Linked DNA regions of Caenorhabditis elegans. The protein of the gene in region 3 interacts with the protein of the main gene of each other region in a pairwise test. Each region holds a gene or a part of one and is shown on either strand. Other genes may lie near its edges.

What was found.
Region 1: the proteins of ric-8 (region 3) and phdh-1 interact in a two-hybrid assay, tested with the Caenorhabditis elegans proteins (one large-scale study listed by BioGRID).
Region 2: the proteins of ric-8 (region 3) and tsp-8 interact in a two-hybrid assay, tested with the Caenorhabditis elegans proteins (one large-scale study listed by BioGRID).
Region 4: the proteins of ric-8 (region 3) and rps-18 interact in a two-hybrid assay, tested with the Caenorhabditis elegans proteins (one large-scale study listed by BioGRID).

The regions. Positions count from the first base shown.
Region 1 is NC_003280.10:13,635,191-13,641,502, reverse strand, and holds phdh-1 (D-3-phosphoglycerate dehydrogenase), read left to right. Parts: upstream 1-3,022; 5' UTR 3,023-3,023; coding exon 3,024-3,321; intron 3,322-3,673; coding exon 3,674-4,036; intron 4,037-4,101; coding exon 4,102-4,409; 3' UTR 4,410-4,584; coding exon of another isoform or gene 4,585-4,610; 3' UTR 4,611-4,634; downstream 4,635-6,312. Other genes in the region: tag-10 (Protein TolB), read right to left, coding at 4,679-4,752, 5,231-5,284, 5,741-6,312.
Region 2 is NC_003284.9:14,725,185-14,732,965, reverse strand, and holds tsp-8 (Tetraspanin), read left to right. Parts: upstream 1-3,462; 5' UTR 3,463-3,531; coding exon 3,532-3,591; intron 3,592-4,473; coding exon 4,474-4,564; intron 4,565-4,628; coding exon 4,629-4,741; intron 4,742-4,885; coding exon 4,886-5,059; intron 5,060-5,603; coding exon 5,604-5,754; intron 5,755-5,911; coding exon 5,912-6,027; intron 6,028-6,140; coding exon 6,141-6,284; 3' UTR 6,285-6,340; downstream 6,341-7,781. Other genes in the region: F33C8.4 (DUF7758 domain-containing protein), read right to left, coding at 396-464, 512-675; F33C8.2 (DUF38 domain-containing protein), read right to left, coding at 7,312-7,521.
Region 3 is NC_003282.8:2,640,045-2,650,361, forward strand, and holds ric-8 (Chaperone ric-8), read left to right. Parts: upstream 1-2,934; 5' UTR 2,935-2,942; coding exon 2,943-3,080; intron 3,081-3,129; coding exon 3,130-3,231; intron 3,232-3,316; coding exon 3,317-3,401; coding exon of another isoform or gene 3,402-3,459; coding exon 3,460-3,529; intron 3,530-3,718; coding exon 3,719-3,896; coding exon of another isoform or gene 3,897-3,923; intron 3,924-4,369; coding exon 4,370-4,540; intron 4,541-5,316; coding exon 5,317-5,727; intron 5,728-7,069; coding exon 7,070-7,217; intron 7,218-8,501; coding exon 8,502-8,646; intron 8,647-8,697; coding exon 8,698-8,825; intron 8,826-9,336; coding exon 9,337-9,461; 3' UTR 9,462-10,067; downstream 10,068-10,317. Other genes in the region: mdf-2 (Mitotic spindle assembly checkpoint protein MAD2A), read right to left, coding at 518-635, 700-846, 897-966; nduv-3 (NADH dehydrogenase [ubiquinone] flavoprotein 3, mitochondrial), read left to right, coding at 1,268-1,367, 1,824-1,975. UniProt on the Caenorhabditis elegans protein: Chaperone that specifically binds and folds some, but not all, nascent G alpha proteins prior to G protein heterotrimer formation, promoting their stability and activity.
Region 4 is NC_003282.8:14,823,946-14,829,487, forward strand, and holds rps-18 (Small ribosomal subunit protein uS13), read left to right. Parts: upstream 1-1,733; 5' UTR 1,734-1,753; coding exon 1,754-1,855; intron 1,856-1,901; coding exon 1,902-2,090; intron 2,091-2,245; coding exon 2,246-2,419; 3' UTR 2,420-2,474; downstream 2,475-5,542. Other genes in the region: sec-61.A (Translocon Sec61/SecY plug domain-containing protein), read right to left, coding at 1-77, 127-471, 899-905; hhat-2 (Homolog of Hedgehog AcylTransferase), read right to left, coding at 2,523-3,214, 3,264-3,781, 3,836-3,928, 4,293-4,394, 4,970-5,139.

The DNA.
Region 1 (6,312 bases), on a different chromosome or scaffold from region 3:
CGGGAAAATGGAAAGAGGGGAAGCAGTGGAGATGGAAAAGAGAAATAGACAAGAGAGATGAAAAATATGAGAGGGGAGAGACAGCAGCACAGAACAAGTGAGAAATTGGAAGTAGAATGATAAGAGTCGCATCGACCGGTAGAATACCGTATTCTTTTCATTAAATTGGGGACAAACTTTAAAAAAATTAAATGTTTGGTCGTTTTGCACCATAAGAGCAACAAAATGCTACCACCATTAAAAAAATTTTATAGTAGTTATGTTCATCTAGCAAAAAAGTGTCCTACCTAAAAAAAATAGCAGATTTTTTGTTCTTTTAGAAAAATGTATGGCCGTCTCTGTAGCTACGATATTCATTTCAAAAAACCCAAAAAAGTATTTTTTTCAAAATGCTACCATTTTTAATATTTTTGGAAATTCTTGCACATTGGTTATTATCATGTAGCAAAAAAGTGTCTTACCTAAAAAAATAGCAGATTTTTTCATCTTTTAGACAAATGTATGACCGTCTCTGTTTCTACGATATACATTTCAAAAGCCCCAAAAAAGTATTTTTTTTCAAAATGCTACCATTTTAAATATTTTTGGAAATTCTTGCACATTGGTTATAATCATATTGAGCAAAAAAGTGCCCTACCTAGAAAAATAGCATTATAGCAACAAAAAAAAGCTGAATTTCGTTATATAATTAAAAAAGAGCTCAAAATTTGAAACAAGTTTCTGTAAAAACATTCTGAAAAATGTTAATTTTGAGTGAAATATGAAGGCCCGGATTTAGTGAAATGTTTCAAAAATAATAATTTATCTGTACTGAAAACCAAAAATGAAAATTGTGTCCTTTTGGTAGAATTGAACTCATCTCATCAAAAATCACAACAGTAATAAGTCCCATACTAATTTTAAAGTTTGACATTCATTTTTGTGAAAATCTTGAAATTTTTAACTATGAGCTATTGAAATATTCCTTTTATTCCCGACAAAACCCTCCGTTTTGTTCCAATATTTGCCCATTATTTATTCATACACCCGTTTTGCACCCATTTTTGTGTATTCCGCTCGCGTCTTTTGTTTTTCTCTCTATCTCTCTCTCTCTCTCTAAATGTGTCACATTTTTGTGTGTTGCCCATCTTCTCCTTCTACGTTCGTTTTTTGTCTCTTGCCGCTCGCTGACCATAAACGCATTTTCTCTCTTCTTTTCGGTGTGTTTTCGGTGTAACTATGCTGAAAATATAATTTATTTTTGAAGTTTTAGCTTCTTAGGACTCAATATCTTTAAATTGGTTTAGAATGTTTTGTGATGACGTTGTCACAACCGAAAAATTTAATTAACAAGAATTATTGTTGTTGGAATTATTTTAACTTTCTAAAAATTCAGTTTTAATTGTTTTTGCCCATAAAACGCTGTTGAAAATTTTTTGCCAAATTAGAAAATTGCCAAAAATTGAAATTCTCCTCTAATTGCCCAACTCCCAAAATAAAACTTATCCCAAATTGGCAACTTGTCAAAATTTATACCTCATGCCAAATTGGCAGATGGCCAAAAATTAAAATTCTCGCCAAATTGGCGAATTGCCAAAAATTCAAATTCTTGCCTAATTGGCAAAGTGCAAAAAAAAGGAAATTCTTATCAACTTGGCACAATGCCAAAAATGGAAAGTCCGTCAATTTGGTAATATGGCAAAAATTCTAGATTCCACCAAATTGGCAGATTGCCAAAAAATGAAAATCCTAGCCAAATTGGCAATTTCAAATAATGAATAATTGCCAATTTGCCAGAAAAAAGAAATTCTTGCCAAAAATTACATTTCCGCCAATCCGGCAAAATGGCGAAAATTAAAATTCTTGACAAATTTGCAGATTGCAAAAAAAAGCTTACCTAATTGCCAAATTGGCACTATGCCAAAAAGGAAATTATTGCCAATTTGCCAAAAACTACATTTTTTGCCAATTTGGTAATATGATCAAAATATAAAACTCTTGCCAAATTGGCAAATTTTTTGGCAATTTGCCAATTTGGCGAGAATTTAAATTTTTTTTGCAATTTGCCAATTTGGCGAGAATTTCCTTTTTTGGCAAATTGGCAAGAATTTCCTTTTTTTTGGCAATTTGCCAATTTGGCGAGAATTTAAAATTTTTTTGCAATTTGCCAATTTGGCGAGAATTTCCTTTTTTGGCAAATTGGCAAGAATTTCCTTTTTTTTGGCAATTTGCCAATTTGGCGAGAATTTAACATTTTTTGCCAATTTGCCAATTTGGAAAAAATTTCCTTTTTTGGCAATTTGTCAGTTTGGCAAGAATTTTCATTTTGGTAAATTGGCAAGAATTTCCTTTTTTTGGCAATAATTTTCATTTTTCCCAATTTGGCATGAATTTTCTATATTTTTTTTGTAGTTTGCAAATTCGGCAAAAATTTCAATATTGACAATTTGCCAGTTTTACATGAACTTAAATTCCTGCCAAGTCGACAAAATGCCAAAAATACAACATTTTTTCCCGTTTTTCAAACTTTCCCCATCTAGATACTTTACTCCCATCTACCCCATTGTGTGTGTGTTCTCTGACGTCGACTGACCATAACTGATAACCGCCATTTTGACCTCAACGACGTTTCCTGTTCTTCGTTTTTTCCTCCTCCACCCCCGGCCAGTCAAAACTTGCTATCTAGCCTCCACCATCAGCAGCATCAGCCCATAAATATCGTGTTGTTCATGCAGTCTTTTTGTGGTGACTCTTCCTAATACCATAATCGATATATTTATATCGACGCTGTAAATCTTTGTTTTCACCTTATCTCGGCAAGATCGATGAATATAGTCATTGTCTACGTGACTTTTACAATCTATAATTGACCTGGAAAGGGGCGGGGTAGCGTCTGAGATTACGTCACTTTGCGTGACATTAGAGGGTATATAAGAACAATTATTTTGCGTTTTTTAAAGATTTTTCTTTTATTTTTTTTTAGTTTAAAACTGTATATTCTCTTTTCAAATTACTATTCCAAAACTATACTCCCAATTTCCAGAATGAGCGCCCCAATCAACAAAGTCCTCATCGCCGACGACATCGAGCAGGAGTGTGTCGACATTCTGAAGCAGAACGGAATCGAGGTGACCGTGAAGACGAAGCAGACGAAGGACGAGCTTCTCGTCACCTTGCCACAGCACGACGCCGTCATTGTTCGCAGCGCCACGAAGATCACCGCCGAGCTGTTGGCTGCATCAGCTGGGAAGCTGAAGCTTGTTGGAAGAGCCGGGACTGGAGTTGACAATATCGATGTGCCAGCCGCATCGGCGAACAAGATTCTCGTGATGAATACACCACGTGAGTTGGGAGGGTTATTTGACGAATGGGGTTTAGGTTTGAAAGTTCTAAAGTCACATGGCTGGGGAATTCCCCAAACGCACGTGTCTCATTTCGGTTTGATCTACGTAGATCTACAAAAAATGAGGAAGAAGTGACGCAGAGTTCTCAACTGATTTCGCTTTGGGCAAAAAATTCCCGCATTTTTTGTAGATCAAACCGTAATGGGACAGCCTGACACTACGTGTAAACGCATGACTTCAAAAACAGGCCGACCTAGGCGAAGGACGGGCCTATTCTAAAAAATGGATGGCTTTAACAGAATTTTTCAACAGAACTTTACCGGTTTATATTTCAAATTTTATTTTTCCAGAAGCCAACTCCCGTTCTGCCGCCGAGCTCACGTGCACACTCATTCTCTCCCTCTCCCGCCACGTTCCACAAGCCGCCGCATCGATGAAGGCCGGCAAATGGGCCCGCAAGGATTTCATGGGAGAGGAGGTCTACGGACGCACCCTAGCCGTTCTCGGCCTCGGACGAATTGGATCTGAGGTGGCCGTCAGGCTTCAGGCCTTTGGAATGAAGGTTATTGGATTTGATCCAATGGTCACGAAGGAGCAGGCTGAGGCGAAGAACATTGAGCTGCTCTCGTTGGAGCAGATTTGGCCACAGGCCGATTATATTACGGTCCACGTACCGCTGATCAAGCAGACTGAGAATTTGATCAATAAAGAGAGTAAGTTAAGCATTTTTAAAAGTATTTTATTTAATCCAAAATTTATTTATCTAATCATTTTCCAGCCCTCGCGAAATGCAAAAAAGGAGTCCGTATCATCAACGTGGCGCGTGGAGGAATTGTGAACGAGGTCGACCTGGTGGAATCCCTGAACGCTGGACACGCCAAGGGAGCAGCATTCGACGTGTTTGAGCAAGAACCACCAACGTTCAGAGAGCTCATCGATCATCCACTCGTCATTGCGACACCACATCTCGGAGCATCAACGATTGACGCGCAGCTCCGTGTCGCATCGGAAATCGCCGATAACATTGTGCAGTACAATAAGGGAACTATGCTCGGAGTTTTGAACGCACGAGAGGTGCTCAACTAATTTATTTGTGTGTTTATTTGAATTTTCGCCCATATTTTCTGTTTATACGAGATCATTTTACATTTTTACAATACATTTTTTGTGAGTTTAAGTCGTTTTCGCATACAACCATTTTTTTTCAGTTTTATTCATAAAAATACATAAGAAAATCGATAAAAAACCAACAAAAAAAAAATTATCCTCCTCGAGACCACCACCATTCTGAAATAAAAAGAGTCTAGTAAATTTCAGGTGTTACTGGAAAATTACCAAAAAAGTACGGAATCAGATTAGTAGAGGCATGCAATTAGAAGAAGTGAGAACATTGACAGGAGTGATAGGTGTGCGGATGGTGACGTTGTTGCTAGAACATACAAGTTATATTATGCAGACTACAAACTACAAACTATAACTACAAACTATAATTGCAACGTAAGTACTAATGTAAATGCATTGCAAAGCATTATTCAAACATTACGCTAGAATACAACAATTACTACAATTCAACTAGCACATGCTTTTTTGATAGGATATACAGTTATGCTACAAACTACACATACTACAAACTACACTACAAATACTATAAACTACAATCTCGAGGCTACAAACTACAATACCAACTACCAATGCATGGTAGTATTAAAAAAAAAAGTCAAATGCGTAAAACTGCAATTTATATACTACGTACAATGTATATACTATAGTTTGCAAATTTTTAAAGCTAGAAACTACATAATGCATACTATAAACTACAAACTACAAACTAGAACTAAAAGTGATGCAACATTCGTTGCAAGCCCAGTAAAATATACGCATGCATCTCAAAAATATGGTTCACTTACTTCCTGGCGTAGTTGTTGTCACTGTTGGAGCAGCCGGAGCAGCCGTTGATGGTGCTATAACAGTATAAACCACAAACTACAATATATCAACTACAAGCTATAAAATTTCTAATGTATTTCAATGGACGAGTCAATTCATTATTCAAAAATTAAGCTGAAACTGCAATTCAAGTAGCACATATTTATGTGATAGAAGATATACAGCTATGTTACAAACTACACTAAAAATACTACAAACTACAATATAGAAACTACAAACTACAATACCAATTTTATAAACTGAATACATGCATAGTAGTATCTATAAAAGTCGATTGCGTATAATTGATATACTATGATATACTATGTACACACTACAGTTTGCAAATATACAATTTAAAGCTACGAACTACATTATGCATACTATAAACTATAAACTACAAACTACAAACTAGAAACTACAAGTGATGCAACATTCGTTGCAAGACCAGTAAAATATACGCATGCATCTCAAAAATATGGTTCACTTACTTCCTGGCGTAGTTGTTGTCACTGTTGGAGCAGCCGGAGCAACCGTTGTATTACTCGGATAGTCGATCCAATCGGCGATGAACAAGTTCAACTCATACATCGTACCATTTCTACTCGACCCCCAAACCAGCTTCTTCCCGTCGTAACTCTGCATGGCGAACGAGTTGAATTGATTCTGTCCGAATGTGATTTGCTGAAGGCCTGTCCCGTCGTCGTTCACCATGTATAAACTGAAGGCTCCAAATCCATTTGCAGCGGTATCATAGTTACTGCTGAAAATGATCCGCTTATTGTCATTCAACATATACGGAGCCCAGTTGGCTTCTCCGAGATTCGTGATCTTCCGTAAGTTCTGTCCATCGATGTCAACTATGAAGAGCTCCATGGCAATTGGCTCCACTAGATTGTACGACAGAAGCTTCTTATACTTTGCGATTTCAGTTTCATTCTTTGGACGGCTGGCACGGAAGATCAACCGTTTTCCATCAGGAGTGAAGAAGGATCCTCCATCATAGCCAAGTTCATTGGTGATTTGAATCAAGTTCTTCCCATCGATATCCATTATGTAGAGC
Region 2 (7,781 bases), on a different chromosome or scaffold from region 3:
CCAGTGAGCTATTTTTTTGACTGAACTACAAAGTACATGTTAAACAAAAGTAATTAAATAATTATTTTAAAAAAATTGATAATCAAACTTTTCAATAAAGGATGCTACTATTTATATGTCTCCGCTAGTTTGAAGTTACCATTGAAAGAACAGCAAATTTGAAAAATTTTAAAAAATTCAAATTGAATTGTTGAACCGAAGAATCCAGCTTACATGCCTTCAAAATTACCTTCGCCTGCACGCGTGCTTTCCAAAACACACTTAAACCTATTTATTTTTAGCTCAATTATGACATATGACAAATATGACATATAAAATATGACATACATAATAAAAAAATTTGTCTAAAAACAGACATAATTCTGCCTCTCGTCAAAACTTTAATTTTAACTTACACTAATTTACAGCCTTCTAGCAACGGCAAGCACGCTAGGCAGGCATCTTTCTTTTCTTCAAATGAGCAACTGAAATGTAAAACCTTATAAATTTAAGTTAAGATTTCTTTTCGTACCTAGTTAATTTTTCACAAACAATAATATTAACGGTTTGCATTTCAGAAAGTGAATATTCGATACCATCTTCTGCGGTGTATTGTTCTATTGTTTGAAAAGCATCGTCAAGTGTTCCTGCTTCTGCTTGTGCTCTAGCTTTGTTGAAGGCTTCTGTTCGTTCCATTTTCTTCTGAAATTTAGATATTAATAGTATTAAATCTGCTGATTATCGTGTAAAAAACGAAAAAAAAAAACACAAATATCTGAAACTGCTCGTCCAAGATTTGAAAATCTGACAAGAATCATGCAAACGTCATTCGAAAAGAGTAAAAAGTTTCAGATGAGTGAGATGGGATACTCACAAAACACATCTGTTCTATTGAGGGGTTGCCTCGGGAATGACACCAGTGTAATAATCGTCTTCCATGCTTGTGGGCGGAAAGTTGTGTAAGAAAACAGAAATCTTCTGCCCGGGGAGCAAGATATCACGGATAAATCTTAATAAATTGGCATTGACACCCCACCCGACAGGGGTTTTTGTTGATTGAGAATTTGTAAATTTGTGAAATGAAGATGCACACATGTCATAAACGCAGAAAAAATGGTTCGAAATTTAATAAAAATTGCATTGGTCAGTTGAAGTAACCAAATCGGAAACCTGATCTAGAGAGTCATAGCTCAAGGATTGTGATTACTTTCTTTTCTGTCAGTAAACAAAACTGAGAAGACTACTAACAAATCAGCGGACGGGATTAACACTGATTGACTTGAGTAAAACAATATATAACTTCGATCATCTAGCGAAGACGGATGTACTATACGTTAAATTATGTACAGAGCTAGCGCAAATCCGCTTTACCAATCAGACAGGATCTACTATTGTTGGAGCCGTTCAACTATACTTTACGTAAAGAAGTTCTCAGGGGCACTACGTATACATTAAGGAAGCTATTCTCATTTTTGCAAGTTTGATTGAATAATGATTCCTAACATCACAAACATCACAAAGTTGCCCACCAAAACCAGGTGGACATTTGCAGTTGTTACAGTCATTTGGGTTGATGTAGCCATCATTTTGACAATCGAGGTAGTTAGAGCAAGTGGCTGAAAATTTAAACAGGACTCAGTCGGTAGTGGTGGCCGCTAGTAATCTGGAGGTCACGAGTTCAAGCCCGGTCTCACCCCCTAGGTTCACCCAGCCTCTATTGGGAGGTGGAGCAATCCATGACTGGACTATCGGCCACAGTCCCCGGCTAGGACGTGGCTAAAATTATAACTCAGTGGGATCACCAGCAGGCAGTGTATCTGAGTTTCATAGTAAATTCATAGTTCTTTCATAGTACTTTGATAGTAAAATCATAGTATTTAAATCAACTGTATCTTAATATGTTTTTAAGAATTCAAGTGTTGCATAAGTGTTCCAAACATGTTTTATTACAGTTGCTGAGTATGAAACAGTTGAATCACATTCAAGCCCTGGTCTCTCTTGAACTCCGATCTGAAATTTTTCTTTTTTGTTTTAAGCCTTTCGAAACTGGTAAAATTTTTGTTTTTATTTGCAGATTTTAATGACTAAAAATCCTCCATTCTGCCAGTTAGAAAATGTGTTTTTTAAGCTCAAAGTTTTTCGATCGAGTTCGGTTAATATTTTGTTCACAAAAAATTTTGAAAAGATTATAGGATCTTTGTATCTTACTAAACAGGTTAAAAGCCAACAACATTCTGCAAAAAATCACAATTGAATCAGTATTACGAAGCTTGATCTTGGCGCAAAAATGCATTGAAAACAATTTAGACCTGAATAGAAATGAAGTTTGTTCTAATTTTCTTTGTCTTTTGTTCTTTGTATGCCCATTACTTTCAAATTTGCCATTACTTTCAAACTGTGTGACTATATCAAATTGTATATCAATGTAGTTTGTCGTTGTTCATTTTATTTAAAAAAAAACAAAAACATTTATGAGCATACTTTTTATGATTTATTCAATTCAGAAAAAAAGTACGTTCCTCAATGTTTATTGTCTCGTAGTTGTGAAAAAAGTTTTCTTCCGATTTTTAAAATACTTATGAAGATTTAAATCTAAATTAATTGTTTTAAGTTATTTTGCCCGTCTGCTCACAGTTTTTCTCAAGTTCAAAAATGAATTGTATTGTTCCCTCTAAACCCTGAAATGATATCAAAAGACCAATTTTGAACACACAATTTTCCAAAAAAAAAAATTTGAAAATCGGTTTACCGTGGTTGAAAGTATTCAAGATAAAGGAAACAAAATTTGCAAACTGAATGTTATTTTTCATTTAAATACCATATTTTATTGTACTTTCTGGGTATTAGGGTATTTTTCGGTCAAAAGGTACAAAGGTCAAAAAGTGCAGTTACCCACTTTGGATAAATAAGAACCATGTATGAAAATGTATATCTTTTTTTTCCACTACCAAATCTGAAACAGATGTTTTTTCTGAAGCAACAATTTGATTTTCTTTTTCAAAAATAGTTTGTAAACAAATTTGGTAGGACGTGACTAGCACATTCGTCTTTTGAAAGCCGAAAACACTTATTTCTCGCCCACTGCCATTTCCCATAGTGTTCCCCCGAGTTGTGAGAAAAACACTTTAAAGATGTATAGCAAAAACAGCATGAGAAGAGTTAAAAATTTCCGTTTGTCAAACCACCGAAATGTTTAGAATTCATGAATAGTTTTGTGAACCCTTCAATTGTTATCTCTCAATGTCTTCTCCTTCTAGTCCTCCTTTCCATGTTGACATCCGTAAAACTTTGTATAAAAACCCCTTACTTCACTCAACCAGGGTGAATTCAGTCGTTCAGGAATTGAAGGATTGAAAGATTGAAGAAACAAGGAGAAAGGGTAGAAGAAGAAAGAGAAGTAGAGAGTATCTTCAAAATGATCAGAGCTTGAGCCAAGGAGCCGCAGCAGCAGCAGCAACACAATCGTCAGTATTTCTTCTCTCCTGTCAGACAAATGGCACGCCCACACATGCTTTCCTTCTGTTTCCCAATCAACATTCGGAGCAGAAAAAAATGGGGTCCTGCGTGAATGCGCTACGTATTGTAACTTTTTTATTTAACTTTGCGTTCTGGGTGAGTTTTGGTTTTTTTTTCGAAATCTTTTAGGTTGATCTTAAAAACTAAGTTTTTTTTTCAAAACCAACTAAAAATGTTATTGCTCATTTAGTAACCAGAGCTGTACATTTCAAACAGTTAAAACGTTTCATGTAGAATTCAAAATATTTTTGCTAGTTATTAGTTATAGTGTTTTAAGCCTAAAGTGCTATACATAAAAATGTGCTGTAATCAATTTTTCGGGTTTGGCAACAGACTACATATCTAAGCACCAAATTTTGAAAAAAAGGTTTCAAGAAAAACCTACTCTTAAGTTCGTGAAAATATTGCTTTAATTGTATTTAAGGGGCGGGGCAGGGGCAGGATAGCTCAGTCGGTAGTGGTGGCCGCTAGCAATCTGGAGGTCACGAGTTCAAGCTCGGCCTCACCTTCTAGGTTCACCCAATTTCCAGTGAGAAGTGAAGCAATCCATGACTGGGCTATCGGCCACAGTCCCCGGCTAGGACGTGGCTTAAATTATAGCCCAGTGGGATCACCATCAGGCAGCGTACCTGAATTCCAGATCAGCAGTGAATATCACTCGTAAAACGGATCGTCCTGTAATCCTTTAATTAAAACATATTTTTTTGACTTTAGTAGTGTTTTATATTGTTTTATTTTTGTAAATTTTTTTTCGAATCCTTGCAAACCTTCTAAAGCCTAATGTTATTTTTACGAACCTAGAATACATGACAAATTAGTGACATAAAAATGTTTATAGCTGCATTTCCACATCAAACTAGGAGATTTTTTTGATTCAAAAATTGAAAAATTTTTTTAATTTTCCATTTTTTAAGCCATCATTTTAATCATTTTGTTTCGCACTGGCACAATTTCGAGTTAATGGTTTTTTTTTTTCAGTTATCAGGAGTTGTCGTATTCGGTCTTGGAATATGGCTCTTATTCGACCCAGCTGCATCTGACTTCTTTGCTCTTCACTCCACACATCCAGGTTTTTTCCATTTATCTTCTTCACCCTCCCCCCCCCCCCCCTCTAACGTAAATTATCTTTCCAGGTGCCTTCCGGTATGTAGGCTGGTTTCTTGTTGGAGCCGGAGCAATTATCATTCTGGTTGGATACTTTGGATGCATCGGTGCATGGAAAATGAATCAATGTGCACTCGCATTCGTGAGTTGTTCCTATTTTTGCACCCCGTGATGGGGAGGAGGGGGGGGGGGAGGGGGGATGGCATCATCTTATATTTCATTTGTCAGTGAATACCTCATTTATCTCCTCAACATGAGATGCATAAAAACGTGTTGTTTTCTTCAGTTCTGCTGCATATTGATCCTCGCGTTTTTCCTCGAACTCGCAGCTGCTGTCACACTTTTCCACAAACAAGAACACATCAAACACTATGTGGAGAGCAGTATGTACGACACTATCAGAAATCGCTACTCGTCGGAGACGGCTTTCAAAGATGCATTTGACACGGTTCAAGAGAAAGTAAGGTTCATAGTGGACTGAAACGGCTTTTTAGACCAAATAAGTCTCAGCAGGAAAAATTTTAAACTTAAATTGGCGTGGACAAATAGTTTACTAGAATTCCTTCGCTGCATCATTTATTCGAATTAATTCAAATTGTAAACCAATTTTTAAAAAAGTCTACATGAAAAAAGTTAAGCAAACATTTGCATAGAATTTTAAACTTGCGTTGTTTGCCATTTGTTCTGTTTCAATTTTTTTAAAATTCCAACAGACTGCGAATGGTTATTACCACAACTTAGCCTAGTTCAAGCTTATGCAGAAAATTTCAAGTCTTTTGAGATTCACGATGCACCAAAGAAGCTCTCCATATTTTATGTCTAAATAGGAAAATTCAAAACAAAATTTTTTTTTTCCAAACTCAATAATTGAAGCGATAGGCTTAACTTTTTAGTTGTAGATTTTTTCTTTTGTTTTCGTATTTAGCAGACCAGTAAATTTACAATGCTTTTTTTAAAACCATAAACTTCATTTTTGCAATTCCAAAATCCTTCTCTCATTTCAGTTCGAATGCTGTGGTGTGAAAACATACACGGACTGGCTTAGCGCAAGATGGGACGCCGAGCCATCCACTCAATTAGAAGTGAACGAAGAAGATGCTGGCAGAATTGAGCACGGAATTGGCGCGTTCGGCGGGAACAAAGGCACTGGATATGGTGAGTTGAAAGAGGGGAATGTGACGTGGTAATAAACGCAAAAAGCTGAGTAAGATAATCTTAAAAGTTTTCCTACATACAATGATTTCATAGACATTCGAAAAAGTATATAAATTTTGTAGCTAGCTAACTTTACGAAAAAATCACAATATTTCAGGTCGAGTCCCATCATCTTGCTGTAATGAGCATGGAAAGCTTTCCTACCCAAATAACTGTGGAAGATCATTCAGCCAAGCTCCGCTCAACACTTATGCTCAATTTATCAATACACGGGTGAGATTTTCAAAAATATATTGATAAAAACAATGTAAATATTCAGTGATTTATTAATTAGTTTTGTTAATCTAACTTTCAAATAAATACAATCAAGTTCAAAACTTTTACAGGGATGCGCCGATGCCGTGTACGAAAGCGTGAGCAGCTCATTGAGCTTGATAGTAGGAGTTTGTGTGGTTCTTTGCATTGTTCAACTCCTTGGAATTGTGTTATCTATGACCTTATGTTGTTGCAAAGGCAATTCTAAAAAATAAACGCCTTTTTTGTTTATAGATGTTTTTTAATGAATAATAAATGTTTTTCTCTCTGATTTATTGGAATTTGTAAAGATAAATAATCGAATGACAAACAACAATTCTTTCAGATTGGGTAGAGTTGATGAAGAGTGGTTGGATAAATATTTGTGAAACAATTAAAGTCGAATTTGCAATAATTGACTTCTCAGGAAAGGAGTGTAGTGAATGGAGTAGCTTGATCAAAAAATCAATTGAAGGAGTACGAATTATTCAGGTCGATAAGATTGAGATCGGGGAGAGGATTTTTTCGTTTGAAATTAAAATGTTTGTTGTCAAAATATATTAGTGAGTTTTTTGTTTTTTTTTGCATTTTTTACGGTTTTTCAGGGGTCTTATAGCACACACGCGCAGCTTTTTTTTTGAGTTATTAGTCGGGTGTTTTAAATTTTATGATAAACTCAGAAAAGCTTAGGATAATAGGTTTTCTGGCACCCTGCTTCCAAACATCACAATAGTTTTTTTTGTGGAAAATTCTGCGTTTTCCAATACTTTTTGACTAGATGGTTGGAAAATAACCAGAAACGAAAAATGATAAATTCTCAATTAGTGTAAAGCCATTCAAAAATAAAAAAGTTATGAAAAATTTTATAGTTTAAAAAAATCAAAAGAGTTTTCAGCGAATCTGTGTTATTCATTATTTTTGAATTCAAAATAAAAACATTTAACTAAATTTTTTTGCGATTAAGATTAAACTACATTCTGGTTTCTGAGTTTTGCAAAAATCCTCCTTCTATAAATAAAGAAACAATGGCTTTCCAATATATTATTGCAACACAGTGCAAAACTTTTGAAGAGCATAGAGACTATTGGTTTTGCAGTTGAAAATGAGCAAGACTAAATTTCAAATAATTCAAAAGAGCAAAACAACCAAAAAATGCTTCAAAAATACGAAATAATCGCATAATTTAAAAGTTAGAGAAGGTGAATTAAAGTCTGGAAAAATGTTGATAGAAACTGAGTCCCATAAAGCGCTGTATGAGAATTATTAGCGCCGTGATGCAATTTTGACGCCCTGGTGGCAGAATGTAACAAAAACACATCGGTCATTTGCCATGCATCTGTATGTATTTGAATTAAGTCGTTGGCAAAACTTGTTCGATTCCAAAATGTGTAGAGCTGTGTCCCCTTCAAACTTGATTTTGGATTTCCAGTCTTGACTGATGGAGGTTATAGTAGTCTCCATGTAGAGCAACTTCTGAATAGTTAGGTAATTTAATGAGAAACAGATTGAAGCATTTGATGAGATTTTTATTTGAAGACAAAAGGGTGCAACTTCTCAATTTTTTTTCAGTTTTACTGCTTCAAACAAGGTTGCCATAAGATCGCCGCGCCGGCCTCACGGCGTCACTCACGTCGCCTGTATCCAAATGTATAGTGCGACGCGGAACCCCGGCCGCTTCCAAATAACTCTTTTTTGCACTACGTTGCGCACACATCAAGCTTCTCGTTTCACGC
Region 3 (10,317 bases):
CCTCTTGGTATAATGTCTATTGCGTCATCATAGGGCGGTTGCCGGAGCACTTGAGAGTCAAGAGGTTTTTGTTGTTGAAAGGGATTATGAGACAATGAGAAATGTATACATATCACACCTTTTTGAGGGGGTTTGTGATGCAATTAGTGGGTTTCAGTGAGAATTTTGAAACAAAAAAATCCGAAAAAAATGCTGAAAATTAATCAAAACGTGCGAAAATTTGTAACTTCTATCGGTAAATTTCCAATTTTTAAAGAAATTCTCAAGAAAAAATCAATTTATTGCTCCGGAAAAGCTGAGAGTAACCTAAAAATTGAGACAATTCAGTTAAAAAACTTCAAAAACGCGCCAATAATTAGGAGATTTTAATCGCAAAACTTGGCCAATTTCAACAATTTCAACAGGAAAAATGACCATTCTGAAGATTTTTTCAGCCAAATTCCCCAGTTTTAGCGGAAAAAATTGAGCTTGACGCCGGATTTTGCAGCTTTGAGCCAGTTTTCAAACGATTTCGTACCCTTCCTCGGCCAAATTCTCTGTATGAATATCGAATTGCCATCTTTCCACGACTTCCTTCGTCTTCACCTCGGAAATCACCATCACCAACCGTTTCAGCTGTCTTTTCGCGAGCCAATCTGCAAACTTCAGATGATTTTAACGCTGAAATTCGAATTTCCCCCGCCGCCGCAAAAAAATTACATTCAACTTGCTGCAAAAGTGGATCCATGAACGCTTGGAGCTTCTTCTCATGAGCCACCCACAGTGTGAGCCCGTACTTCTTCTCACGCTTGAAACTGTCTGATGGATAAAGCGCACGTTGATAGAGAATGCTGTTAAGGCCGAAATCTGAAATAAAAAACGATAAAATCGCGAATTTTTGCAGGGGAAAACCGTACGGAAGAACTCTTTGACGAGTTGGGCAGATCCTTTGAGGGAAATCGCGTTTTGTGTCTTTACATCCGTCATTTCTGATGAATTCCCTGCAAAATAACGATAAAAACTGATTAAAAATCGAAGAAAAATGACCGAAAACGCGCCGCAAACAGTTTAAGATTCGAATTCTCCCGCCGAAACAATTGCACGAGAAACGCGCCAATAAACATCACGAAACGCGCCAGCAAGCGTCCAAGGCACATATCGATTTTTCTCGCGACTCGGAAAAGAAATTAATTAAAAATCTCGAAAATCATCGATTTTCATTGTTTCTTTCAGTTTTTTCATTGATTTTTTGGTAAAATAATTGATAAATAAGTTTTTTTTTTCAGAAATGAACCGCTTGATGGTTATTTCGGCTCGTCGGATGGCGTCGGCGGCTCCAAAAACGAGCACCGGAATCGAGCACGCAGAGAAGGCCAGACAGGTCGCTGGTATGGCTTTCTGAAACTCTAAACTAGATAATAATCCGTCATAATATTGTATTGAAAAAGTTTAAGCCAAAAAATTCCTTAAAAATAGCTGAAAAAGTTGAATTTTTGCGGAAATGGCACGAAAATTCGATGTTTCCCGTAAAATCACTGAAATATTTGATTTTTTGCATTAGAACTTGTGAATAGCTAAATTTTTAGTTACAATTTCATTGAAAAAAGCTAGTTTCTGCAAAAAATGTCGATTTTTCGCCATTTTTCTTGTTAAAATCGATTTTAGCCGAAAATATTCTGATTAAACATTAAAAATGAGCAGAATATCGATTTTTGTCAGAAAAAAAAACTATGAAAAGTCTAATTTTCTGGAAAAATGTGCATTTTTCTAGAAAAAAAATCGAATTTCAGACAAGTTTTTCCCAATTTCCATCCAATTTCCACGCAAAATCTCTCAATTTTCAGGCGGAAAACCCGATTGGTCACTGTACAAATGCGACGAATACCTGAAATTCGACAAATACTCGTACGCTCACGCCGAAATCACCATGAACAAGGATCGTGTCGTTCAGCCGTCCTACAAGAAGGCCGACGTTCTTCCGAAAGTTCGAGCTTAATCTTTTTTCGACATTTTCTGTGTGAAAAATAGAGTTTTCGGTGGATTTTATCATTTTTTTTGTGTAGATTTTTCGTATAAATATGAGTTTTTACATAGATTTTTTAATTTTATTGATTTCATGGCTGTTTCCATGCTTAATTATCTAGTAACAAGTCGTTGAAAAACGAAAAAAACACAACGATGCTCCGATGTTCCGCACGTGCATGTTGTTTATCATTGCTCAAAAAATGGCGGTTTTTCGAATTTTTTTTGTGAATTTTTGCTGTTTTTCCGCCTAAAAAAATAAATTTTAACACAATAATAAGCCGAAGCACAATTTTTCTTTAATGCCTGCTCGTTCCCACGGTGATTGCCGCCACAAGGGATTACCTAGCAGCGAGTTTCCATGGTGATGGGCGTCGCTAGCTTTTGTTCAGAGAAGCAGATGTCATATTCATTGAATTTTTAATTTTTTCAATCAAAATCGCATTATTTTCGAGAGATTCGAGGGAAAAATCGAAAAAATTGCAAAATTTTGATCGAAATTGTTGATTTTCATTATTTTTCGCAATTACTTCAATGAAAAATCACTTCAAAATGACCAAAAATGGTGTTTCGATGCAAATAATAAGGGTTTTTTTTTCAGAATAAGCTAGTGAAAAAAAAAAAATCGAATTTTCACTATTTTTCTCCTCGTTTCTTTGATTCTGCCATAAATACGATTGGAGAGAGTAAAATCTGAAATTTTTCCGAAAACCAGTTAAAATTCTGTTATTTTTCAACAAAAACCGTAAAAAAAATCATTAAAAACCTCGGAAAAAAAGTAATTTTTCGCTTTTTTTAAAACAATTTTTAACGATGCTCCGAAATCCCGCATGCGCGTGCTGTTTAGCATCACAAAAATTCGCGATTTTTTGAATTGTTCGATCCTGAAATTGCATTTTTTCTCGTAAATAATTAATTTTTCATGATTTTCAGGCAATTCCATGTCTGAAGAACTACATTCCGACCTGATTGCGTCGATTTTCGGCGGGAAGCCTGCCAAAATCGAGGAATTCTTCTCGAAATGGAATTTCGCGAACGCCGCTGTCTCAAAATTCGATATGGCGAACTCGGCAAAGAATGTGAGAGATTTTAATTAATTAGTTTTTGCAATAAATTTCCAGTTTTCAGGAGCTCGGAGACCGGATTTGTGAGGTTATAGAAAACGGAGAGCTGACCCACGTGCTGCTGGAGACGATAAAGATTTTGAGTAGGGAAAAAGATGGATTGGAGGTAGGGAAATACTACGCAATTTTGAACTGAAAATTCGGATTTTTCAGCTAAAAAACTAAAAAACCCCAATTTTCCCAATTTCCAGGGCCTCCTGAACGACCCGCTCTGCGATAAAATCCTCGCCTTCGCGGAACTCTCGTCAAACGAAAATAACTCGAAAACTGTCCACAGTAAGGCAATTTTGAGCCTAAAAATTCTCGAATTTCCCGCCAAAAATCATAATTTCAGCACTAATGGAGGCGCAAAAATGTCTAATCAACACTTTGTTTCACTCACAACGAATGAGAGATCGATTTTAGTGAGTTTTCAATTGAAAAATCGATTTTAAAGTGATTTTTTGCATAGGAAAGTGTAAAAAATCCTTTAAAAGTGGAAAAAAAGGTTATTTTCCGAAAAAAAAATTAGAAAAAAATCTATAAAATCTGATTTTTAATTGAATTTCTAAGAAAATTAGCTAAAAATTAGAAAAAAAACACGATTTTTGCAGTGCAAACCCGAAAACTGGTGAAAATTTGCAATTTTTCCTCGGAGAATTCGAGGAAAACCGCCGAAAAACGTCGTCAATCGATTGGATTCGCCTTCTGAATCCGGTTCAAGCCGCCGAAATTTGGTATTTCTATCATCGGATCGCTTTTATTGCAACTGCATTGGGCAGGGAATTTCAGGTGCTCGAAACGACACGAAAAATTTGAATTTTTTGACACAAAAATGACCCGAATTTTGGAGAAAACTCGTGTAAAATCGGCAGAAAAATCGAGCGTTTTTTACTGGAAATACACATATTTTTCGAGTTTTGAGCGATGCCACGCGTTGCGGTTGCGTCGCGGTTCAATAAATTCAGATTTCTCAGAAAAAATTTGAATTTTCTGCCTGAAAAAACCGATTTTTGTGTGATTTTTATCGGCAAATTTAGTTTTTAAAAACTGTGGACCGCGCGTTGCGGTCGCGTCGCGGTTCGAAATTTTTTTTATTATTTCAGATTTTTTTTTACAAAAAATTTTGGAAAACATAAAAATTATAGGTTTTTAATCAATTTTTACAAAAAATAAATTTTTTTATTTCAATTTTTATGAGAAAATCTGCGAATATTCATGAAAATTTTTAGTTTTTTTGTGAAAAACTAATTTTTTTTTTGCAGAAAAACTGGGCCAACGACCCAAAAACCATTGATTCTCTGCTTTTGGCCGTCGAAATTTGCACAAATCGATCAGAAAACAGCACTCAGGATATAAATCGAGCTACCGAGGCGTTGAAGACGTTTTTCAACGTTTTTTGCCATTTTCACGGAGATGTGAAGGCTATTGATCATGTAAAAATTCAAAAAAAAAAAAAAAACTGAAATACCAAAATTTATACCTTAAAAATGCGATTTTTTGAATTTTTTAAAACTTTTTTTTTTTAAACTACAAAAATTCGAGTTTTTAACTTGAAATTCCAAATTAAAAAAAAAAATTCATATAAAAACTTCCAATTTTCGTACGATTAATCGGTGAAATTTTCCGGTTTTTCAGGAATTTTCATTGAAAAATATCAAAAATCCAAAAATGACGATTTTCTATAGAAATCGTCATAAAAAATGCAATTTTTTGAGATTTTTGAGGTTTTTTTAGATTAAAAAAAAGATAAAAATCATCGATTTTCGTTTTATTTTCATTTTTTTTAAATCATGAAATATCACTCTATTTTTATTTTCCAAAAAAACAAATTAATTTAATATATAATTATATATCATATTTTTTTTGAATTGAGCAGAAAAATTCTGAGAAACTTCCTGAAATTGGCCCAAAAAATAAAAAATAAATTAAAAATTTGCGAAAAAAAAATTTCTTTTTTTTTCGCTTTTTTCGCATTTTTTCTGAATTTTCGTTTTTTTTCAGCTTTAAATTCTCGTGAAAATTCTTCTAAATTGCGGTAAATTTTGTAAAATTATCTAGGAATGTCAGAATTTTTTAAAATTTTTTTAAAGCACATTTCTGAAAAAATTCATTTATTTTTCAAATTTTTAACCCCAAAAGTATCAAAAATTCCATAAAAAATGTCAAAGTTTTGCTACAAATTACGACGAAAAAAAGTTTTTTTTTTCAGAAAAACGCGGCAAAAACGTGCCAAATCCTTCGTGACGCAATTTGCTCCGATGTGCTCACCGATGACGTCGTTCAATCTGCAATTCATTGCTTATCAGTTCCACCACTACCAATGGTCCTCTCAGTACTTTGTGGAAAAAATTCAAAAAATAACGGAGGAGAAAACGAGGAGGAGAAATTCTTTGTTGAGGAACTTAGCAATATGCAGCTCACCGAGGCAATTCTCATGCATTTGGATAAGCAACTAACAAAAGTCGTTGCTCTACTGCTCAATGATGCTCCAAATCAGCAGCAGAATCCAATGTTGTCGGCAGAAGCTTCAACACTTACAGATCTTGTTGGACCATATTTTCAAGTTCTCGCTAGGCTTTGTACGGATAGTAAATATGTTCGCAGATATTGTAGAATTCGGGTTCGTGAAAAAAAAAACACTTGATAGGGAAATTTTGAAAATTTCACTGCAACTTTTTCCTCACGAGGGACGAGGAAAAGTGGTTTCTAGGCCATGGCCGAGGGGCCGACAAGTTTCAGCGGCCATTTATCTTGCTTTGTTTTCCGCCTGTTTTCTTTCGTTTTTCACTGATTTTTTTCGTTTTTTTCTTAAGAAAACTGATAAATAAATATTTTTTGCAGATGCTAAAACAATTTCCAAGTAAAAAAATTATGTATTCAGTGGGCAAGTAGCGGATGTGCGAAAATCTCGACTTTTTCACCAAAAAAGTTGAATTTTGGAAACCTCAAAACTTTTTCAGCGGTCTCGTTATGAAAATCAGGTAGTCTCAGCATTTAAGCAGCATATGTATTATGTTTCAGAAAAAGTTTAGGTTTTGTATTCCCGTAATCCATCATATTACAATGCCCACTTTCACCGCTGCTTGCCCACTGAATACATAAATTTTTTCACTTGGAAATTGTTTTAGCATCTGCAAAAAATATTTATTTTCAGTTTTAATAAGAAAAAACGGGAAAAAGCTGTGAAAAACAAAAGAAAACAGGCGGAAAACAAAGCAAGATAAATGGCCGCTGAAACTTGTCGGCCCCTCGGCCATGGCCTAGAAACCACTTTTCCTCGTCCCTCGTGAGGAAAAAGTTGCAGTGTTGATAGGGAAATTTTGAAAATTTGAAAAAAATTCAAGACATTTTATAAAAAATTTAAAAAAAAATCTTCCGCCTCTATGAAAAAAAAATGATCTGATTTAAAAAAACATTTTTCACAAAATACATCAGTAAAATTATTAAAGATGGGGTACCGAAATCCGGGAAATATTTTTAATTGACTCCAAATTTTTCCCTGATTCCGAATTTCGATGTGAAAAAATTCAAAAAAAATTCCCTGATTTTCTATTTGGGCTTCAAATCGCGCATTTCATTTGTGCACCCATGAACTTTTTTCAAATTCGCGCCGAAAAAAATTATCCCCGGAGCGCGTTTTGAAATTAATTGAGACAAACGCGCTCCAAGGATAATTTATTTCGGCGCGAATTTGAAAAAAGTTCATGGGTGCACAAATGAACTGCGCGATTTTAGGCTCTAATATAAAATCAAGGAAATTTTTTTGAATTTTTTCACTTAGATATTCGGAATCAGAGAGCAAATTTGGAGTCAATTAAAAAGGTATATAGAAAAATTTATTCATGTTCTGATTAAAAAATTTTTTTTTCACAAAATACACTAGTAAAATTATTAAAAAATTATATGAAAATGTCGTTTTTGAAAGCTTCAAAAAAAAATTCAAAATTTTCGAATTTTTGCAGGTAATTCCCCCACTGGTATCAGAAGAAGTGCAAAAACGGCCGGAGGAGAACAATACACTACGTGGCCGAATCGCTAGAATTATGATGCTTCCGTCGTCAACGAAAGATGTCGCCGCCGAGTTCCTTTTCATTATTTGCAAGAGATCAGGTACGAAATTAACTTAATTCAAAGTTTTTTTTTTAAGTTAGAGTACAGAAATCTGGAAAAAATTTCGAATGACTTCAAATATTCCCCTGATTCCAATAATATCTATGTGAAAAATTCAGAAAAAAAATCCCTGCGAATTTTGTGGCGCCAAAGACGCCTTGTGTGTCGATTTACGAGAATTGTGTATATTTACGAAATGTTTAATCTTTATCAGATGCTGACTTCCCCCTTTTTTCTACGAGTTTCCCTGATTTTCGGCTATTTTTAAGGTCTATTAAGGTATAAAAAAATTTGCAAAATGTTCGGTTTTCAGTCGGAAAAAGCTTCAATTTGGATGGATTTTCCGTCAAGGAGTGCAACCTAAGCAAATATTTCGTAAATATACACAAATCTCGTAAATCGACACAAGGCGTCTCTGGCGCCACAAAATTCGTGATTTCAATCAAGCTTGAAATATAAAATCAGGGAAATTTTTTTTTTGAATTTTTTCACAAAGATATTCGGAATCAATGTTGTGGCACCCGGAGGCGGCGACCGAGCCTTTAAGCCGTAACGAAGAGTGACTCGAGACCGAAGAAAGAGTATGTATAGTCTGGAAGGAGCGCTGTGGCAGTGCGGATGAATGCGGTGGTCTTGCTCCCGAGGAGACTTGAATATAGAGCTAGTGACAGAACAAATGTATAAATATATTAATTTATATAGTAATTATAAGAATTACAATACAAGAGGGAGAGAGGATAAAGTAGGGGGAAGGCCTGGAAACTCCTTGGTTATTGGAGTTTGTCGGGTTCTCTTTGGTTATCAGAGATTGTCGGGTTCTCCTTGGATATCGGAGCAAGTACATGAATAATAGTGAGGGGCAATTACAAAGGAAAATGGGGGATGCGTCGGGAGAGAAGTGCCACGCACGACCGTTCGGCACGAGCGCAGCATCAAGACTGAAGTGGTGGCGTCCAATGGCTGCGTATCCTGTCGTCGCTTGAGTCGTCGCGCAGCTAATGTCGCTGTGGGGCGCGAGTGTGACTCTTGTGAGAGAGCGTATGAGAGCGAGAGACGCAGAAGAAAGAATGACTTCTGCGGCTCTTTGTCATAGAAACCTCGTCTGAGAGATCTCTGAAGAGATCGTAGGACGAGACATTGTGGAATGGCTCCCCATTCCACAACAATCAAGGGAAAATTTTGAGCCAATTCAAAATATTTCCCAGATTTCGGTACTCCGCCTTCAAAAACGTCAGTTTTGGAAAATTTGTGAGGGTTTATCTTTAAAAAATTCCCTTTTTCCAGTGAATCGAATGATCAAATACCTTGGATTCGGCCACTCGGCCGGTCACCTCGCAAATTTGGGTCTTCTCGGACAAATCAATCAACCAAAACACGCGTCGGACAGTGAGGATAGTGAAACTGAGGATTATAATCAGATTAAGGATAGGTATGCTATACTTTTTGTGCATAAAATCCATGGAAAAAAAGAGATTTTCAGTGTAAATCCAGTGACCGGAGCAATTTATCCATCGGATCACGGAAGTGCACTTGCCGGAATGTCTGAAGAGCAAAAAGAGTATGAAGCGATGAAGCTGGTTGATGCTATGAATCAAATGATGGAAACTGGTGAGAAATTCGGAGAAAATTGCGCGAAAATTTGATGAAATTTGACATAAAATTCAGGTTTTTTGCAGCAGAAAAATCTGGAAAACAATTGGTGAAATCCCCCCAAAAAAATATAAAAAATTGCACGAAATTTGATGAAATTCATCAAAATCGTGACGATATTTTGCAGAAAATTCTAATTTTTTGGTGTAAAATTGGAAAAATATCGAATAAACATATGAAAAAAAACTCGAAAATTGGTAAAATTCGAAAATAACCTCGAAAAATGAATATTCTTATTTTCTGAGAAAATCTCAAAAATTGGCGGAAAAATTCATAATTTGGAGCATTTTTCAAGTAAAAATTGAGAAAAAAAAATTTTACCTTAAAAATTCCGAAAAATACCGAAAATTTTATGATTTTTTAGCTTAAAAAGTTTGAAAAAATATCCAAAAATTTGGAAATTTATCGTAATTTATCAAAAATTCTCCCCGAAATTCTCTAATTTCCCCATTCATTTTTTTTTTTGCAGGAATTGTGAAGCCCGGAACCATTGGAGATGACGGAAAAATTCGCGAAGTCAGCCATGTGTTGGAGCTCCTGAAGAATGCTCCAGAACCAGCGCCGGCTGAGAATTCGGATTCTGATGAAGAATAATTATTTTTGATTTTTCCATTTTAACATTTTGAAAAAAATTCTTTTTAAAAAACCTTTAAAAATTTGAAAATAGCGAATTTTTTTTTCTATTTTTATCTTATAACACACTACAAAATATTGTTCAAATTTTCCCTCACAGAAATTTTCAAAAAATTTCTCAAAAAGTGCCTAAAATCCTGAAATTTCCCCCTTTTTGTCTAAAAATTCACTAAAATCTTATGAATTTTCCACACAAAAAAAAGTGGAATTTTTGTATCAATTTTACCATCTGAATTTGAGAAATTACATTCAAAAATACACAAAAACAATTTCCAAATTTTCCACATTTTTCGTTGAAAACATTTTTTACCCAAAAATCCCTCAAATTTTGAATTATTCAAAAGTTTTTCCTGACAAAATCCCCATTTTTATTGTATTTTCCCCCCTCAAAACCCCCAAAAATGGTCTAAAAATCACAATTTTCAATGTGTATATTCCCCTTTATTTCAGATCTCTCAACGCAAAATATGCCAATTTCCAAAGCTTTACCCCTTTTTTTAGTCAACTTACAGAAGTTCTCAATCTATTTTTCTTGTGAATTTTAATAAATTTTGATATTTATAAAGTTTGAAATATTAATTCACAAAAATATCTGCGAAAATGGCGAAAAAGTTCGATTCCCAAAAAATCGAAAATTTCCAAAATTTGCGAAAAATCAATAATTCCCGAAATTTCCAAAAATCAATAATTCCTGAAATTATACATATTTTCCTGCAAACATCAAAAAATGAAAATGCCCGAATTTTTCAAGAAAAGTCGATTTTCAACAATGCTATCCAAAAATCGATAATTCATAATTTTTCCGGAGAACTAAAAA
Region 4 (5,542 bases), about 12 Mb from region 3:
GATTTCCGATGGCTCTCCGTAGAGTCCGGACATGACGTAGACAATAGCTTGTCCAACAGTGATGACCATACCGAACACTGAAAAGTTCAAAAATTAGAGATTGAAAACACACACTTTTCGGCTTACATTTCTGGGCTCCGTTGAAAAGAGCACGGTCCTTTGGTGTGTCTCCGACTTCGATGATCTTGGCTCCGGCGAGAAGTTGCATGATAAGTCCAGAAGTGACGATTGGCGAGATTCCGAGCTCCATAAGAGTACCACGGTTGGAAGCCATAATAACACGAAGCCAGTAGAATGGATCGGCCGAGTCGGTGGACATGATTCCGAAGAGTGGGATTTGGCAACATACGAGGAACACGAAGAGGGTGATGGCCGTCCAGAGCATCTTCTCACGGAACTGGATCTTACGCTCCGGCTTCGACACCTCCGGCACGAAGCCGCAGAATGGCTTCACGAATTCAAGGAATTTAACTGAAAAAAACAATATTAATTAGGATGGCGAACTACAAAAATCGATAATCCTCTCGGGTGCACCACACCTTTGTTTGCCGCCCGCCGGACTGCAAAATTATCGACTCGCACCTGTTTCTCTCCGATTTAGACAAAATTCAAGAAATTCTACATTTAAAAATGAAACAAAATCCGTAGTAAGGCAATGTGAGAAGAATTTTAAAGTTACATTGCAGAAAATGCGGTGTTCTCCTTAAAATTTATGAAAAATAGAGGAAATTCTTCCACGTAGCAAATCGCACACTAGAAAATTCGCAAGAAAAGGGCATTCAGTTTGATTGGAGGAATTTTTAAATTGAGAATTTTCAAATAAAGCAGCTACGCGTTACGATAAATTCTGAATGTCTAGATTACTTTTTAGTTGAAACAAATAAAAAAGAATACTTACTTCCCATGATGGTACGTTGATCTTCTCAGCACACTGGAAGAAGTGAACACAGAGAGACACAAGGAGTGTTGCCTTTCGGATAATATAAATGGAGAGAAGATAGACGGGGGAGAGACAGAATCTGCTGTCGTGGGCACCGCACACGCCGACAGTGCCGATAGTGGACACACGCAAAACGAGTGTTACCGTACCTTCGAACTGGCAGAGCGGGACAGTGTTTTTGCAGTTTTTATTGCTATTTTCAGCGATTTTTGTAAAGTTTTACCACTTTTTCGATGTGAAAAAAATCCCTCTACTCAATTTCAGCAAAAATATTAATTTAATTCACCGAAATCTGTCAGAAATCACGAAAAACTTTAATTCGGACTGCAAGGTCTCGAGACGATTCAAAGGCGCGTGCAGTTTCGCGGCTGGGTTTCGCACCGCTCGTCCTCTCTCCTTTCGTCTCTCTTCGGAATTTATTTCTTTTCCCTAAATTTTTTTGGCTTTTTCCGTTGAAACTTTACCAATTTTCGCGATTTTTCTTCAAAATTTGTTTTTGAAAAATTCAGGATAATTTGTTTTATCGATTTTTAAACATTCAAAGCTTTGTTACTCGACAAATTCGCTGAAAACATGCCGAAACTCGAATTTTAATATTTGAAAATTATCGAATTTACTAGTTTTGTGAATATTGTATCATTTTTTAGGCATTTACAGGTCAATTTTAACTTATTATTCAGCTGAAAGTGCTTAATAATAATGTTTTTTGGTAATTTTTCGTCGCAAATTTTTTATTTTTTTTGAATATCCGCGCTTTTCACTCGTGCATCTCACTAAATTTTTTATTTTTCAGGGTCATAAAATCACGACAAGATGTCGTTGATCATTCCGGAGAAATTCCAGCACATTCATCGTGTGATGAACACCAACATCGATGGTAACCGCAAGGTTCCATACGCCTTGACCGCCATCAAGGTTTGTTTTTTAAATGTTTGATATTTTTAATTTTTATCGTTTTCAGGGAGTTGGTCGTCGTTTCGCCTTCGTCTGCTGCCGCAAAGCTGACGTTGATGTCAACAAGCGCGCCGGAGAGCTCACTGAGGAGGACTTCGACAAGATTGTCACCATCATGCAAAACCCATCTCAATACAAAATCCCAAATTGGTTCCTTAACAGACAAAAGGACATCAAGGACGGAAAGACTGGACAGGTTAGTTGTTTCGTCTAAAAAAAATCACTTAAAATTATACAACTGGAGTGAAAATTAGGCCTGTTTTTTTTTTAAATCTGTATACAGGCCACCCAGTTTAATTATTTTGAGAGTAGCAAATTTTGACTATAATTCTTATAGACATATGTTTTCAGCTCCTCTCCACCGCCGTCGACAACAAGCTCCGTGAGGATCTTGAGCGCATGAAGAAGATCCGTCTCCACAGAGGACTCAGACATTACTGGGGACTTCGCGTCAGAGGACAGCACACCAAGACCACCGGACGCAAGGGACGCACCGTCGGAGTGTCCAAGAAGAAGGGAGGATAAGTCTGATTGTTTACGGGATGTTATGTTATTTTTTGTTGCTAGTATCCCGAAAATAAATGTTACTTTCAAAAATAATTTCTTTATTTGTCAAACAATACAAGTTTTAAACCATTTTCTTGTGTTTTTGGTAGAATTCAAGATCGAGGCAAACATTATTAAAGAAATAACCCAGAGTCAAAATATGCAGAAATGCAAACCCGGCAGTTAATGGGAAAATACTTATATTAATTGAAAATACATCTAATACTCCTTGCACGACCACGTTTTGAGATATCGTCTCGCCAACACCTTCCTGTCCAAGAAAGAAGAAAACTCCGAAAATTCCTGGTGTTACAGTGAGAAGCATGAGTGTTGCCATAATTCTTCTGCAGCAGTGTTCCCCGAGACGTTTCCTGATTCGCTGAACCTTGGGAATTTTCCAAATTTGCCATCCTATCCGCTCTACTATCAATTCGGTTGCTGATAATGTTACCCAAAAGATGAAGTGCCTTCGAGTTCCATGCCAAGCTAGAACAACACCAAAAACTGCACACAGAGCCCCAAGACTTCTCAAAATGGACCAAAATAGAGGCAACGGTTTTCGCATAGCTGGGATATAGACCTGATACTTTAAGAATTGATAGAGTCCATTATCGAAAAATCTCCACATTCTGGAATAAAGCGACACTCTGGAAATGCAGATAGGTGGTGGCGGAGGTCGAAAACCATCCAGAGCCGCGAAAAATGCAGGAACTCCGAAAATGACCACGTATTTCACATGGAATAGTTGGCCAGCCACGTAGGCAATTGCAGAAACTGAAACTTAAAAAAAATTGAGGAAAAAAAAAGGTTTTTCTGAACAAACCTTCATAAGAATTTAGACTATTAACTAGGGAATCTGGTGAATTGAAAAGTGCCTGAACATGTATAAAATGCAAAATCAATTCGATAAATCCAAACCAAAAAACCAGTCGAAAACCAAACCAAAGTGCACATTTCACAGAATTCCAGCAAATTTCAGTTGTCTTTTGCCACGTCTCGAATTGCTGAATAAAATCCTCAAATCGTACAATAAGTGTCATGGAGTAGGGGAGATAGGAGAAATAGATCAGGCTATCTGCCATAATCTTTGAAAAATCTGATTTTCCAGGTTTCAGATCGCATAGAAAAAGGGCCAAATTGAGTATTTTAATAGATCCGTACAGATAAATGTTGAATTCTCGATAGAAAATGTGAGTTCCAGACGAGAATGGGACGATTTGTGTGGCTCGGACGATGAAGACGATGCACAGGAGCCACGGAGTCCATTTGGAGCCGCCTGTGAGCCACGTGGCAACGATGACGAGCACCGAGAATGAGTAGAGGACGAAAATGCATTGGAAACTGGAAATTTTTGGGGAATTTGAATGAATTTTCAGAGATTTTTAGAATATAAACCTGCTCATGTGAATTTGGAGCAAGAAACCGATGGCGATAAAGGCATAATTTGAGATCGTGGAACATGGAAGAAATCGTTTTGAGATGAATATTCTGGAATTTGAAGCTTTTTAAAGGCGCACGGCATTATTCAGATGGGTCTCGGCGCGCAAGTAGGTTTATAGTAGATTTTTCCACTAAAATGGCTTTAAATCAGTTTTCTATCATTTTTGCCGGCCGATAAGCGGGAAAGTCGACATTTTTGAAGAAAAATGAAAAAAAACTACAAAAATCGATAAAAACTACCATAAACTTTTTTGTGCGCGCCGAGACCCACCTGAGTAAATCTGTATCGTTACTGTAGCTCGTGTCGAGCCGCTTTTGCATAGAAATAGAGAAAACAGTCGTGGCGAGACCCAAGATATGGCAAAATGTCTCATTTTTCCACGTTTCTATAATATTCTTCGTTCAAACAAACCCTAAGCTATGGGCCGAATAATCGAGAAGAAGATGCCACACGGTTTGCCGATAATAAGCCCATTCCGCATCGGATAAATCCATTTTTGCACCGGAGACATAGCTGAAATTGCAAATTTAAATTGTTTTTAAAACGGTGGCCGAGTTTTCGCTAGGCCACAGTGCCAAAATGGTCTCGACACGATCGAAACTTTCCAGCTACCGTACCTGTGGGTACTGTAGTTTTTTCATTAATTTTCCCAGTTTTCGAAGCACAAACTAGATAAAAATTGGAATTGTAGAAAAAAACAACAAAAAAGAGTCCGATTTTCGATTTTTTTTTTCTCGAAATTTCGTAAAAAATCGAAATTTTCGAACATTTTTTCGGTCATTTCTCAATTTTTCCCGAAACTTTACATTTTATCTCGATATTTTTTGAATTAAAAATTGTTAATTAGCGATTTTTCCTGAAAAAACAGATAAATTGAAATTTTCGACGACGAAACCCAGGGGTACTGTAGCTGCAAAAACTTTCTCTCGTGCCAGGACCCTTTTTTGCCAAAAACTGCAGGTTTTTATATGAATTTTCATAGATTTCGTTATGTTTTCACCGAGTCAATATTCCATAAACTTTTCCAAATTATATATCTTTTTCCAAGAAACTGTAATTTTTTTTCAAAACTTTTTTCAAAAACCCACCAACTATCCTGCATCCAATGTTTAATCCATCCCTTTGCTTTTCCATTCGAGACCCAATATGCTATTACAAATGCAAAAAGCGAGTGAAATATCCAGACAGACCACGCTAAAGCCCTTTCAGCTTTGGGTAGTGGACCAGGAATTGAAGGAGACGGGGAAGAGACGGTCATTTCGTATTGTAAAGTGGTGATAGGGGCATTCTGAATAGGGAATATTTATATATTTGTATGGTTATGGGTGTTTGGAAGAAAATATGAAAGGAATAGGCTTATTTGTTAAGGCCAGAAGCGTAGACGGAGGCTTAGTACTGCTGTGGAGAAATTTTGAAAAAAAAACTCAAAGAAAAAATTTACCGTTTCAAAAAATTCATATTTTTTCTTCATAAAAATTAAAATTAATTCTGATCTTTTTTTTTTTAGGATGCTTTAAAAATATTTGAATTTTGATACAGAAAAATTCCGAAAAAATACTGTTTCAACTTGTTTCTTTAACTACATTCAATTTTATTCATTAGTTTCGCACTTGTTCTCTGTCAAATTAAATTTTTGAATTATCTCATGTATACAAGAGCTC